Linked DNA regions of Oreochromis niloticus. The protein of the gene in region 2 interacts with the protein of the main gene of each other region in a biochemical or structural test. Links are inferred from orthologs where the notes say so. Each region holds a gene or a part of one and is shown on either strand. Other genes may lie near its edges.

The links. The genes of interacting proteins can lie anywhere in the genome.
Region 1: the proteins of runx1 (region 2) and elf2b form a complex in vitro, tested with the Homo sapiens proteins (2 studies listed by BioGRID and IntAct). The link is inferred for Oreochromis niloticus from reciprocal best matches to the Homo sapiens genes RUNX1 and ELF2.

Annotation. Positions count from the first base shown.
Region 1 is NC_031971.2:37,292,614-37,299,984, reverse strand, and holds the start of elf2b (ETS-related transcription factor Elf-2b), read right to left. Parts: upstream 3,023-7,371; 5' UTR 2,664-3,022; intron 1-2,663. Other genes in the region: mgarpb (fibrous sheath CABYR-binding protein), read right to left, coding at 6,585-6,622. UniProt on the Homo sapiens protein: Isoform 1 transcriptionally activates the LYN and BLK promoters and acts synergistically with RUNX1 to transactivate the BLK promoter. Isoform 2 may function in repression of RUNX1-mediated transactivation.
Region 2 is NC_031986.2:3,441,031-3,448,539, reverse strand, and holds the start of runx1 (runt-related transcription factor 1), read left to right. Parts: upstream 1-4,501; 5' UTR 4,502-4,919; coding exon 4,920-4,947; intron 4,948-6,310; coding exon 6,311-6,462; intron 6,463-6,531; coding exon 6,532-6,642; intron 6,643-7,509.

The DNA.
Region 1 (7,371 bases), on a different chromosome or scaffold from region 2:
GACTATTGTTCATATCATTATCAACATGGAAGATAAGAGACGGACGTAGACATTATGATATCGCCTACTAGTTCTGGAGGCTGCATTTTGAAGCTTGACCGTAATTTATCATGTCAAACTCTAACATGCAGGTGCAATGCACACACACATTCTAGTTAATTATTTGCCAACTAAAAAGAACTAAAGACAAACTTCTCGGATGATCTATACGTCACAACAAACTATAATATCAGTCAGACAATCCATTAAAAACACTCCAAGTCTCCAACCTGCACAAACTGACTCAATGTAGTGAATGAAGCTCAATAAAAAAATAACACATAAAAACGGATAAACAATAAATAGATAATTCATCTGTATTTCTGACAGACTAATCAAATATTTAATTCAAGTTTAACTTGTTTCAACTTTCATTTTAAAACTACTTAAAACTGCCTTTTATAAATGTTAGAAGGATTGAATAACACGATTATTACAGAGATATTTATCACAATACAATTTATAAATGAGATGGAATTGGCAGTTTAGAAATGCATTGTTTATTTGTATCCTCTGTGCAAATAGAATAATGCATGTGATTCAGAAAACTCATCAGTTACAAATATGGTTTGAACAACTATAAGAACATAATAACTGAGATAAAAATTATTTTGCTTTGTTCCTTTTATACTGTTGATCTTTTATTTCTTTAGGCTGAAGCATTTTCACTCTTCTCTGAAACCCCAAATTCACTCCCCCTACAGGCTGTTGGAGCTTCAGATGAAGTAAAATGACTTCATCTCTTTTGAAACACTTTGGTTTCATGTGTAGTAAGGAGCAAGAGCACAAGTGCATGATGTCCCCAAAATCAAGTTATAACATTAAATAATAATGAGCAGAATTTTGGCCACAGTCACACAACAAGTGCAATCTTTTGTGATTTAAACTTGCACACCTCTCTTGTATCCCATTATACATCATCTTCTGTGGCAACCAACCCTTTGTATTCCAGGGTCCATGTTTGCAGTGGAGAACATTTGTGGAACCTTCAGACCACACAGTTCAACTGTTGACTCAAACTGCAGGATACGCTGTCTGGTTAATGATGAACGAGCACAAAGAGTGGACACTCCCAGCCTGTAGCATTTAAATAGGTCCTTTGCCCCCACACAATCAAACTGTAAATACCTCCACACACCAACGCACACAGCTGCGAGAAAGAGGGTGAATTCTTTGGAAATACTAATGTAATAATTACCCATACAAATGATCTCAGATCATTTCAGGAGCTCTAAGAACAGTCGGGATATGTTTAACCTTTCACAGGTTATTCCTCAGAGTCTCAGATAGATTAAGATCAGGACGTTAGGCTGATGCATGCACCAGCAGGGGGGCACATGCTGGGCCAGAATCAGGCCAGAGATAAATTTAAAATAAATAAATAAATCCATTTATCCACTCGTTCACTCACAAGGCAGAACCCCAAAACCATGATGCTACCTCCACCATGCTTCACAACTGCAATAAGGTTTTAGTGTTGGTTTCATTTTTGTCCCACCTGTCCAAGAACTGTTGCAGAAGAACGAGGTGCGACACAGATTTAAGAAAATCTGCAACATGTATTTATTATTATTATTATTATATTTATTTTATGTTATCGTATTTATTTATTTAAGTCTTGTAAAGCAATGCACCCCACCCCCCTGCCACTGTTGTGTCATTACATTTCCTATTCAGGATATTTGTAGGGCCTACATAAAATAAATAAATTAACAACATTGATGGCAAAATGCATTACAGCGTGTAGAGAAAATCTTTCAGTTGTCAGCTAATCACATTTTCTAACAGGAAATGAGGCAAAAAAAAGAATAAATACATGAGCAACAATGACCTACTTGTGACCACAACACCTGTTACAACATCATAATGCAAATCTGCCTCTTAACCCGCACACTCACCTGTGTTGACACTATTCTAAGTTTGCTCAATGTGGCACCTCTGACGCATAAAAAGCAGTGGAGTCAGATCCAAGATTATAGTTTATATGTTACATGCATGTAGTAGTTACCAGATCCCAACAAACTAAATGTGGAAAAAATTACTGATGTCAAAGGTGTATATAACTTTAAAAACAAACAGCTGCTGTATTTTGTATTATTGTCTGATGCCTTTCCGAAAGCAAATTAAAACCTCATAAAGACAACATGTTGGTGTGTAGATCTATAAAAGTTATAGATATACTGCATTTTATTTTTATCCAACTTTTACAGCTTCTCATACATATAAATGGATGCTAAAGTCGGGGTTTTTTTACGTTGGTGTCTTACAATTATTCTCTGATTGTAACACAATAACTTAAACATGTCAACTGGACTAAGGCTGAAGGTGCTGTGCAGTCCCACACAAACTGGGACACCTGCTAACCCTAACCTGTAGTCAAAGACTATGTTGGACATAAAGAGCAGCCCACAGGAGAGAATCTGTTATTGAAATGATACCTCCCTAAACTAATAGTCTACTCAACATGTAACGCCCAAATCTCTTTGAGAGCCCCGAGCAGAAACTGAATGTGGAGCATTAACTTTGCTAACGCTAGCTAGCTAAGTTAGCATTGAAAGAAAAGCAAGTAAACAGAGGATAACAACAAACCATGTGGCTAACGCTGCTACAGTCAGCTCACTCACCGTCTAATCCTTCCTTTCAGCTCCTGATCGGCTCACAGGCAGCAGTGTGTGGTTAGCTGGGTGCTAACCCCCTCCTCCTCTGAACCCGCCGCTGCTGTAAACTGTCAGCCCGGAGGAGTCCCGCTGTTAGCGGACACTGCTCGGCTAGCGTTAGCTGGTCGCCTTCATGGTGAGGAGGGGGAGGAGGAGACCTCCCGGAGCCTCTCGGCCGACCAGAATCAAGTCTTCCGCGATTCTGGGGTGTAAATGCGGGTCAGTGAGTGAGCTGCGAAGCGGTCGTTCGAGTCTGCAGAGGCTCATGGAGACTGGCTCGGTCAGTTTACTCTGCTTGTTCAGGCAAGTGACACTAGTGACGTCACGCCGTATCATAAACAATCCCAGCCCACCAACACATTAAAGAGTCATTCGTTACAGCAGTACACAGTGGGGTTTAAATCAAACAGTCCACACGTGACTGAAGTGCAGACCACATGCCGTTTCCTCTCATCAGATGCTTGTTTGTGGATCTCTGCCTTCGGGTTTGTCTTCAGCAAATGAAAAGCATGCTCTGTTTGCATAGAGAACATGAGATCATTACTTGGCCACTGAAGAATATCTGTTTTTTTGTTGCTTTTGCAGTTTGGGTCATTATCCATTTGCACTGGATCGTGTTTGCCACCTTTGCCAGAATCTAAGCAGAGATTATAGCCCTGTACACTACAGAATTCATCCTGCTGCTTCTGTAAGCAGTCACATCATTAAGGAACTCTGTCCCAGTGGCACATGGCCATGCCATTACACTACCTCCACTATCTTTGAGTGGTGATATGTTCTTCAGATCATGAGCACAAGTTTTTCTCAGTTTAATCTGTCCAACCCTCTGCAGGATCTTTTAGGTGTTTTCTTGTAAAGTCTAATTTTGTCTCATGTACATTAATGTATCTCTTGATTGTAGACTTTGACGGGATATTGTGAAGTTGTTTTTCGTAACCAAGTAAAGAATTCAGCAATCACCCACCTTAGATGTCTTCTGTGGTCTTCATGGCCTTTTGTTATTGCTGAACTGGCCAGTGCTCAGCAATAACAATAATCCTCCTTTTTTAAGAATAAAGTAGACTGTAGATTTTGGCACTCCTAAAGTTGACAACACATCAACTTGTTCTGCACCACAAACTTGAGCAAAGGGGACACATAATTTATCTTTCTTCTGTTTGCCTTTGAGCAAGTTAATCCAAAAAGATCAAAAAGAACAGACAAATGCTCAAAAACATATGATCTCATGTGTTATTACATCACTTTATTTAAAATTTGAGCACATTATCAGACAACAGAGAAGTCATTTGCAGAGCAATTTGCTAATTACAAGCTTTAAAGTTACTGTTTAATATGCAAATATATTAAACAAAGTTTCAATCTGTATATCTACAATCATTTTCTCTTATTCTCTTACCCAGTCTGCACATAAATGGAGATTTGTGTAAGTATAGACAGGTGTTGGTATGGATGTGGAAGTGTGTTTACGGGATATTTTCTGGCATCAGGTATTTTTCACCTCCGTATGTGTGTATATGTGTCTGTGTTTGTGTGTTTAACCTTTCAACACTTTTTTCTAAACTATTTTAGGTGCTAGTGGTATCAGAAAAGAAGGAAAAGTGCATCAATAACATGTTTATTTCTGTATGTAAAATAAAGCTTTTGTGTCACTCTTACATAACTGGAAGCACTGACGTTCACATACTTAATATTTAAACCACTCAAAGCAAACTTTTGTTGCAGAAGCTAAAATATAAACAACAACAATATTTTTCTGCCATTTGACAAACAAAATTCTTTTTTCCTTTGAGTAAATAAAACCCCACTTATTTTTTTTATTGTAGTTGTAGAGGAAGACTAAAACCTAGAAAATTCTAATATATATGGATAATAAGACAGTCATGTAAGTACCTGCCTTTGTATTATGAGAAAAAGATTGTCTGCCAGCCAGCCATCCATCCATCCATCCATCCATCTTCTGCCACTTATCTGGGTTTGGATTGTGGGGGAGCAGCTTACACAGAGAAGCCCAGACCTCCCTCTACACAGGCACCTCCTCCACCTTATTTATGGCGATAGCAAGATGTGTCCAAGCCAGCTGAGCGATATAATCTCTCCAGCGTGTGCTGGGTCTGCCCTCACCCAGAGGGCACCCAGGAAGTATCGTAGTCAGATGCTTGAATCACTTCAGCTGGCTCCTTTCAATGCTGAGGGGTAGCGGCTCCAGTCTAAGCCACTCATAAATAACTGAGCTCCTCACCCGATTTCTAAGTTAGAGGAATTTCCATTACTTGTATTTGAGATGACATTATTGTATCCACTACCTTGAGCTTGTGACCATAGGTAAGGTTGGTAACTGGTAAATGGACAGCTTTATTTTCATGCTCAGCTCTTTCTTCACCACAACAGACCGGTACAGTGTCCGCACTGCGGATGGAACACTGATCTGTTTGTCAGTCTCCTGTTCGTTTCACTTGTGAACAAGACCCCGAGATACTTAGACTCTTTCACTTAGCACAGCAACTCATCTCTCACCCAGAGTGAGCACTCCACCCAGGCTCAGAGGAGATCATTTTCATTCTCATTGCTTCAAACTCAGCTGCGAACCACCCCAGTGCGAGATGGAGGTGGTCACCTGATGAAGCCAACAGAACCACATCCATAAAAAACAGATATTAGATGGTAAATAGACTGATTCTTATATAGCACTTTTCTACTCTGCTTGAGCACTCAAAGCACTTGAGATCGATCAGCCACAAAACCGGAGACTTTCCCGTGCTTGCCTACACACAGAAATCCTGTCCATAGAAATTAGGAATATAATCCCCGACAGAGGACAGCACTGGCTGTCAAACTGCGATCAGGACTAAATCCAACTTATTATTGGCAATACGGACCAAGCTCTCACTGTGTTGTAAAAGAACTGAACAGCCTGTAACAACAGGCAAGATAACTCACACTCAAATGGATGGATAGATGGATTTCTCACATGCTTACTTCCCTCAGTGTTTCTTCCTGTTTTGTGGATTGTTTTTTTATTTTATTTTGATAGTTTGTTTTGGGTTTTACTCATCTGTCTGAATATCCTGATTACTTTCACCTGTGTCTCATTCTCCTGTTTTAGTACCATTTCGTTAGAGTAACACAAAACCGGTTAGCCCCGGGTGTATAAATAGTCCTGCCCTTCTCTTCTCTTCTCTTCTCTTCTCTTCTTTTTAAGTAACCAATATTTGACAACAGCATAATAAAACTGGAAATTCCCAATATTTTTAGTGGCCCCCATATGGCCACTCCTATGAAAAAAAATTCTGAAGATGCCCCTGCTCTTCACTTCATTGTCTGTGATTTGCCTCTTTTGGATTTTGTTATCTGTTATTAAACCTGATGCTTTTCCTCACCTTTATACATCTATTTGTGCAGTTCTCATTTTATAAACGTTCTACTGTTTTAAGATTGTTTTTTGTAAATATTTTGAAGAACTTTGTAACTCTGGTTCTGAAATAAAGTTATTACATGTATGTGAGCTGATATGAGCAGGTAAATCACACTGAGGTGACACTCCCATTAAAAAGTCTTGTCCACATTGGCAAGCTTATTATCTATAAAAGTGGTCTATCACAGTACTAAAATAAAACACAGTATTACAGTAACCCACTTCCACTGCCTGCTGAAAGATTTAAAGAAGCCTCAGCTGATCATGAAAGGTTTTGCAACAGTGGCACCTAGAGGACATGATAGGAATCACCTCACAAGCACTAATACAGAAGACAACTCTGATAACATTTCAGAAAGGACGTTCGAGTCAGTTACACCTGTGACTACCTCTATTCATGTTTTTTGTTTTCCGCCGGTCGCTCTGGCTTGGTTGACAGATAGGCGAGTGTTGTGGAAGGCACACTGTCTGTCCCGTCACGACTGGGCTATCACCACCACCGTCGCCTCCATGGCTGCAAGAAAACAAGCACAGCTTCGATTTAAAGGAGACAGAAACGCATTCACTCAGTGTACATGACTGTAGGATTTTGCAGTGCAAATATTGAATTCACAGCTGTGCAGCTCGAACTACATCTTCTAACATTTGAAGCAGAGAAAAGTGTCTGTGAATGTTTATGAGACCCACTGGAGCTGTTACAGTGTGAGCTGCTAAAATATGTGCATATTTGTCCATTTAACTCTCTTTAGGTCCGTGTACAGCTGTGCTGCTTTACCTTCTTAACTGTAAAATTACATGACTGAGCAGCGTTTTACAGTCCAGTTGGACTCCTTTGTCTCTGTGGATACAGGCAGAAATACATCTGGTCAGAGCCAAATACAGGAAAGGCTTTACTGCTGTCTTTGCTTGCTTGTTTTCGAGGGCAAACTTGAACAGGGATAAATTTAGCGTTGGGGGAGTTCACAAAGTTTTCATGAATGAGTGGCAAGGAGGCTGTTAGGGAGCTCATGAGTGACCTACTACTTTATTTATTTACTGATAATGTGTTGTATTTGGTGATCTGGGAAGGTTCGGTCAGCTTTGATGGCCATAACTTTGGTCTTGTTCACCTCTGAGAACCCGAGGTTTTGCCTTCCTGTGGTGATTCTTTTTATCTCTATCTTAGCTTTATCTAAATGTAATATAACTCCCTGCATTTGTCCAATGATTGTGTTGTTGGTTTCTTTTTTTTCTTTGAGATTTGATTTTTGTGTTTGTTGAATT
Region 2 (7,509 bases):
AGCGCGTAGATTTGGTTTTGGCATTGGTGGGGACGGATGATTCAACCACCGAACCCTGCCCTGTTTCTGTTTTTTCCTTTTTGTCTTTGCTTCTTGATAAAAAAGGGAGAAATATACTTGCCCACATATGCTATTCTACATGCTTTTAAACCATTTAAAATTACAATTTATAGTTTTATATGTGAATTATATAATGTTAAATTACTAATAAACAAATGAATGACTAAGTATTTTAGACTTTAGTTTACTTCAGCCATATTCCATATAAATCAGGTATCATACAAAAATAAAAATAGCTTCAAATACAGTCAAGACAATAAAATATGACTTTAAGGACTTAACAACATTCCTTCAGTTATAGTGCACCAACATCTCTGATACATTAGCACTAAGGGAACACTGAATGACCTGCTGGTTTTTGTCCATAAAACTACTCATCTAAGATGACCACAAAGTAAAAGATCTCTCAGCAACATTATGCAACATTTTAGGCACTATTGCCCCGATCAACTCAGTGAGCTGTTTATTCTAAACATGAACTACTGTTACAGCAACAGACATGGACACAACAACTCAATGTCCACTATGTGAAGCAGCCAAACACATGCCTTCTCCTCTCGTTAACTGAGATGAACTGCTGGGATATTTGTTTTACATCTATACTGTCCAGTCTCTCCTGGTGGACATGGCAACACGTTATTCATGGTTACATACAATTTTAGACTGATGTGGGCCAAAGCCTCGCACATACTTGCCAACCTCAGACCTCAGAATCAGGGAGACATTCAAAAGGGCCGTTTGGGGGGGGGGGAGTGGTATACATATACATACATATATATACATATATATATATATATATATGTATGTATGTACAAAAAACTTGAATTTTACAGTGTTTTATTTATCGGATAACATAAGTTAAATGTCACCGTTATTATTGTCCAGCCGGAAACAGGCCAGGGGTGTCCAAATTCAGAGGCTGTGTCTGAGGACCCGGCCTTCGCGATCTAAGTGGGCCGGGTCCTCCGAAAGCCAGGTAGACCGGAAATGAGCGACTGTGAAATTGGATGGTCTAGCCTTCAGAATTACGTCACAAGCTCTCTCGGTGGAGTGAAACTCTGCCATCTAAAATATAACCGGACGCTGACGTAAATTCTCAGCCATCTCACACTTCTGTTTAATCAGTTTTCTGTTTGACGTTTATTCAGCTGTGTGAAAATCCCGGAGGAACCTACCTGAGGGATCTCCAAAGGTTGAATCTGTTCATCTGGACGTAGCGTTTTGTGGGAGAAACGTTTCGTCACTCATCCAAGTGACTTCTTCAGTCTCAGCTGACTGCAGGTTTCCCCAAACCTTATAAACAGTACATTTGCATAATGCCAGCCCACTGAAGGAACAATGGGCTGTGAGGTCAGTTCCTTAATCATAATTATGCAAATTCCCATGACCATTGATCAACAATCACTGACCAAAACCCACTGATCAAAGAACACTGATCAATGGCCATGAGTCCCATTCACAGAGAGTTGGGGAATGGCTGCAATCACAGCATTGTAAGATGGCGAAAGATGTACCCTTAGGCCCCCTCCTCGATTCAGAGATGGTCTTTCCCTTTTCACGTAAATGGCCTCCTTGACTCCGCGCTCAAACCAGCGTTCCTCCCTGTCCAGGATGTGTACATCCTCATCATTGAAAGAGTGTCCACTGGCCTGTAGGTGTAAATAAACTGCAGAGTCCTGGCCTGACGAGGAAGCTCTTCTGTGTTGTGCCATCCGCTTCGCTAGAGGTTGTTTGGTTTCCCCGATGTATAAATCCTGGCAATCCTCCTGGCACTTAACAGCGTACACTATGTTACTCTGTTTGTGTCGGGGGACCCGATCCTTGGGGTGGACCAGTTTTTGGCGCAGCGTGTTTTGGGGTATTTGCATAATTATGATTAAGGAACTGACCTCCCAGCCCATTGTTCCTTCAGTGGGCTGGTTTCAGTCATTATGCAAATGTCCTGTTTATAAGGTTTGGGGAAACCTGCAGTCAGCTGAGACTGAAGAAGTCACTTGGATGAGTGACGAAACGTTTCTCCCACAAAACGCTACGTCCAGATGAACAGATTCAACCTTTGGAGATTTACTTTCCTGGATGATTGAGAATGCATCAAGACCTACCTGAGGGATCAATAAAGTTTTATTTAATCTAATCTAATCTAATAACTTTAATCTCAGCCAAACAGATTTACTCACAAAGTTTACACAGCTACATTCTCGCCTGAAAATATGTTAAAAGTTTATTTTGCGACCCAGAAAGAGAAATAAGAGTAATATTAAAACTAAGTAGCTGCAGTAGTAGTAGCCATTGGTGGAAACTGGAATTGGCTGGGCCAATCTGGGATATGCTTTTTCAATTTTGTTGTCTGGGTGGAAATTCGGGAGAAATTCGGGAGAATGGTGGCTCCGGGAGAAAAATCGGGAGGGTTGGCATGTATGGCGTAGCATAGCCTGTAACGTTATTATGACGGACACATTTTATGAGTGAACTTGACTTTAAGTGACTTACAGGTTCCTTTAAAAAATACTTTCTTATATCCAGGTTCTTCCTTTGTGCTGCCATCCTCCTCTCCTCCTTGCAGGCTTGCGCTGCTAAAACTAAACAGAGCTCCCTGAAAGGCACAGCCAATCACATTGGCCATATTTGTCACATGAGGCAGGACTCCAGTAGAGAACGTAATTTAACTCTTTCTGCACCGCTGGGTGAATGAGACGCTGACAGATCGGGTTTTTTTCTTTCTATCGGGTTTGTTTTTCTTTACTCGAAGAGATCAAATTATTATTTATTTATTTTTATTTATTTATTAACCTTTATTTAACCAGGAAGATCCCATTGAGATTAAAAACCTCTTTTTCAAGGGAGACCTGGCCAAGATAGGCAGCAACAGGTGTCTCACAGTTACAGAGATTATTCAAACATAGGCATCAACAACACACATGCAACAATAAGTGAAAGAAAACAAATAAAAAGCTTATTGGTGGGGACAATTCAATAATCGCTGGATATTGGTGGGGACATGTCCCTTCCGTCCATGCCAAATCGACGCCCTTGCTTCAAAGCAAACAACTGCAAAATGATTTCAGAGATACGTTCACTTCGGTTTGCCATACAGATATACACAGACACAGAGGAACATTAACGTCACGCACACATAAATGAGCTGAAGACGGTGACATATCTGAAAGCTGAATGAGTTGGATCATTTTCTCATTTTTGGATTAAAAAAGAAAGAAAAACATGATCTCATACACTAAAAAACTTTTGCCTATCATTTTAGTCTTTAAGATTATAACATAATGTAAAACTGAAACACATGAACTCCCACGTGGTTACTGTGTGACTCTTTAAGTGCTGTTGGAGTTTCAACGGCAATTTAAACTCAGTTCTTCATCATTGAGACTTTTTTTTTAGTTGAGCAGATAAGTCAGTTACTTTTTTCATCTGTCAGCTCTTTCCCTGCTGCTGCTTTCTTCCAGAAATGCCTAATAGCTCCATAATAATAATCTTCATGGTCATCTTCATTTATATAGACTTTACATACAGTACATGCAGAAGACAGAGTGCCGAAATGAACTCAGTATTTAAACCATTTTTTTGTGCATTAAAGTTTTTGCGTGTGCATGAAGACAACGTGCATGTGCAAATGTTGTTCAAATATGAAATTAATATAATAGCAATATAATAAAAAGAGCTTTTCCTTCATTTAAAATTATTTTTGGTGCTTAATTTGTTTTGTGAAATATTTTCCAGTAAAAACGTGAGCGGGATTCAAACTATCCCTGGTCAGTATAGGCAGCAGTAACACCGTGTTCACAGTTATGATGATAACATCTCCGTCTGAGCACCTGCAGATCTCAATAATGCAATTTAGTATAGTTAGAGGTTGAGTGTATTATAAAAGTCAGGAGTTCAGAGGTATCATTTATATCAAGTACTAATACAGATGTTTGAATGTGTATTCGAGCTCTTACTATTAGAAACAGATGAAATCACATGAAAGTGGAAGTCATCAATGTGAGTCCGGCTCGTTCGGTCTGTGCCGTCTTCATTTAGGATCAGTAACGTGCTTTAGATCACCTGCTGCCCTCTATCGTCTGTATGTGCTACTGACAGCTTGCATATATAAAGCACACAGATTCTCACGCCTCGGTCTGCTATGGTGAAAAGAATAAGAAAACAAAGATTTGGAGGCATGTGACTCTGACTTTGATCCGCAGTGAATGCATTCATCTGTCGTTAGTTTGTTATGTGTGGATAACGCACATAACCACACACTGTCACGCAGGAAGAAGCGCCGCTCTGTCTCCTTGTTTCTCTGCTAAACCCGCCTTCTTTCGGACGCACAGGATGCTGATTGGTCTTATGTTTTCGGCGACAGCCTCTAGAACGCGTCCTGATTGGCTGAGAGCAGGTCTTTGCACAGACGAGATGCAAATCCAGAGCGGTGCCGGTAAAAGGCTGACGCCAAGATCGGAGATGGCCATTCATCTGCAGGGGAAAGGACATAGAAGTAGTTATGATGAAAGCGCTTACTTACAGAAGCAAAATTTAAAATACAGTCAGATTCTCTCCTTTTTTCCCTCCAACGTCTGCCCATTTCCTTCCACTTTCAGTATGAGCGGAAGTTTGTTCTGCTGAGCTTTGAAGACAGAACCCATCTCAAGTCTGACTTCTACTCTGTGTGGAGAACGCATTAAACACATCTGAACGCGTCGGAGACATGTTTGCACGGATTTAAATGTGTCGCGTTTGATCGGGATAGTTTGACAGATAAGTACTGGACGACGCGCACACAGGAATCCGCTTCTTGGCCGCAAACAGGAGGAAAGCAGGAGGCTTATAGTGAAAGTCAGCGAGAGGAGACTGTGGACGCACAGATGGTGTTTCCGTGGGACGCCAAATACGGTACGACGTATTATTCTGGTTATTGTTCACGATAAAGTGTGAAGACATGCGCAGAGAACATATTTGTTCTAGTCAGCTGTCACATTAGTTTGACTGACTGAGCTGTTGGAGAAATGGTGTTCGTCTCTGACGGTGCGGTGGTAGTCCGTGGTTTGTCGGTCCGTGTGTGTTTGTGTGTGAGCAGTGATGGTGATGTCCATATACTGGAATGTGTGTCATTGTACAACAACGTAGTCATTTACAGGCCTGTAGAAAACATTTGTAGCTTTATACATAATCTAGCATAATACAGCGTTCGTGTACCGGTTTACTCTGTGACATCCAAATCAGCTCAAACGATCATTGTCGGGTTATTGGTTTGATCCAGTCCACGAGTCAAAGTTTCTTAGATTTAAATATACAACCCCACCTTTTCTCAGTGACTGCGTTTGTGAATGGAAACACAGTTATTGTGTGAACAGGTGAATGTGGTTTGTAGTGTTTTGTAAAAGGGGAAAAAGTGGAGTCTGAGTTTTGCACTGCTGCCAGAATTCTTCAGAGATTGATGCAAAATGTTAACCATGTGTTAAAGTGCTCATTCTGAACTAACAAATGTGTGCTATAATACGAATGAGTGTTACCTGAGCTCACTAGGATCCAAAACTTTGGATTTGACTGAGCAGGTCATCAGGTTGGTGGTTCAGTTCCCGGCTGCTCCAGTCTGCATGCCCTCCTTGGGCAAGATGTGAACCCCAGGGTGCTCTCTGTGCTCTCAGTGTGAATGTGTGTGAATGTTAGGCCAAAGGTGCTTGTATAAAAGGACGTGAATGAGGACTGTTGTATAAAATACTTTGAAGACTCCAGATTAGAAATTAAAAAATCAGATATAAGAATCAGTCCATTTAACATTTAGACACATGCTGTATAACACAAATGTAACTATCAGCAAAATAAACGGTCACACCTGTTCACCTAGTTACCTTCTCCTGTGGTTGCAAACAAGCGTACGACGTAAACATCTCTCTCCCTCACTCTGTGTGTGTGTTTTATAGATCCCAGTTCAGGTGTGTGTGTGTGTGTCTTTAACCTGAATAAAAAGCAAGCATAGTCATAATTTGTCAAACACTATCTATAGAAATCTTTCTAGTCATTACCTACTAATCTACTTACTGATTGATCATAAGTTGTGACAGAATAGTGAAAAAAGTCCTTATTGGTGCAGGCTGGGGGGAAAAGAAAATATCTGTGAGCAAACAGAATCGCTACGTTTTCTTTTTCTGCTGAAATAATTTCTTAAACAATGAATGAAGCGTGAAAATATATTCTCATACTGTTCTGATGATTACGTGATTCAAAGACTATTTTTTCCTGGGTTCTGTCATAGACCCTGCCCCCGGTCGCCGCTATACTCCCCCCTCTACCACCCTCGCCTCGGGGGGGAAGATGGCCGAGGCCCTGCCTCTCGGAGCCCAGGAGGCCGGTGGTGGAGCTGCTCTGGTGGGAAAACTGCGAATTGCAGACCACGGGATGGTGGAGGTAGGGCAGCATGGGACTGGTTGCTTATTTCTGTTTTAGACTAAAATAACTGTGCTGCTGTTTTTTCAGGTGATGCCAGATCATCCAGGAGAGCTGGTGAAGACAGACAGTCCCAATTTTCTGTGCTCTGTGTTGCCTACTCACTGGAGGTGTAACAAGACCCTGCCCATCGCTTTTAAGGTGTGTGTGTTGTCATTTCAGCACGGGCCGTGCTGTACATCGTAATGGACTGCGTGTACTTAGAGTTCACATACATACCAGGTTTTACTGTTACGTATACAGTTAGCTCCACCTCTAACCAAGTGATCACGAACCTTTCACCTACTGAAAGTTTCCTGATAATAACATGTAGCATTACCTTTATATATTATTACATCATCGTGAGTTCATCTCTCTGTTACTTTGATTACTTTTACTGTCCTTGTCCAACGTGCTGTTCAGTATATTCACCGTCCACTGACAAACAGAGAAAAGCAGCAATTCTTTACATCTGGGAACAAATCTTTGACATTTTGCCTTTAAACGTTAATTGATGTAAATGGTCCGGATGATTTACGACTTAAGTGTTTAATGTACAAAATCTTAACATTTTGTACATTTTCCAGCATCACTCACAAAGGTCCATTTTTACAGACCTTTATACTGTCTTACCAGTGGGTCATATGATCCATCCACCCTCAGTGATTTAACACAAGTTTGTTTGTTTTTGCTGCGTTTCCCTCATGTGGATGGTTTTCCTGCACTTTGAGACAAAATGCATTTGTGGAAAAGCAGCTTTTAGCTGCAGAAAACACAGTGGATTGATTTACTGAGTTTTATGCATTAGTGTTTGCGCATACATGTGTGTGTAAGAGAGAGTTTGGTGCATTATGCATCATTATGGAGTGTCATGAGCGGATGTCACTGCCTCTTACTGATAATGGATGACTGTTGAGATGAACACACACATTTTATGCACACAGCGAAAGACGCGCATCCATATTGTATGTAGCTGATAACACACACACACACACACTCTGCAGGTATTGTTCTGTATACATACACACA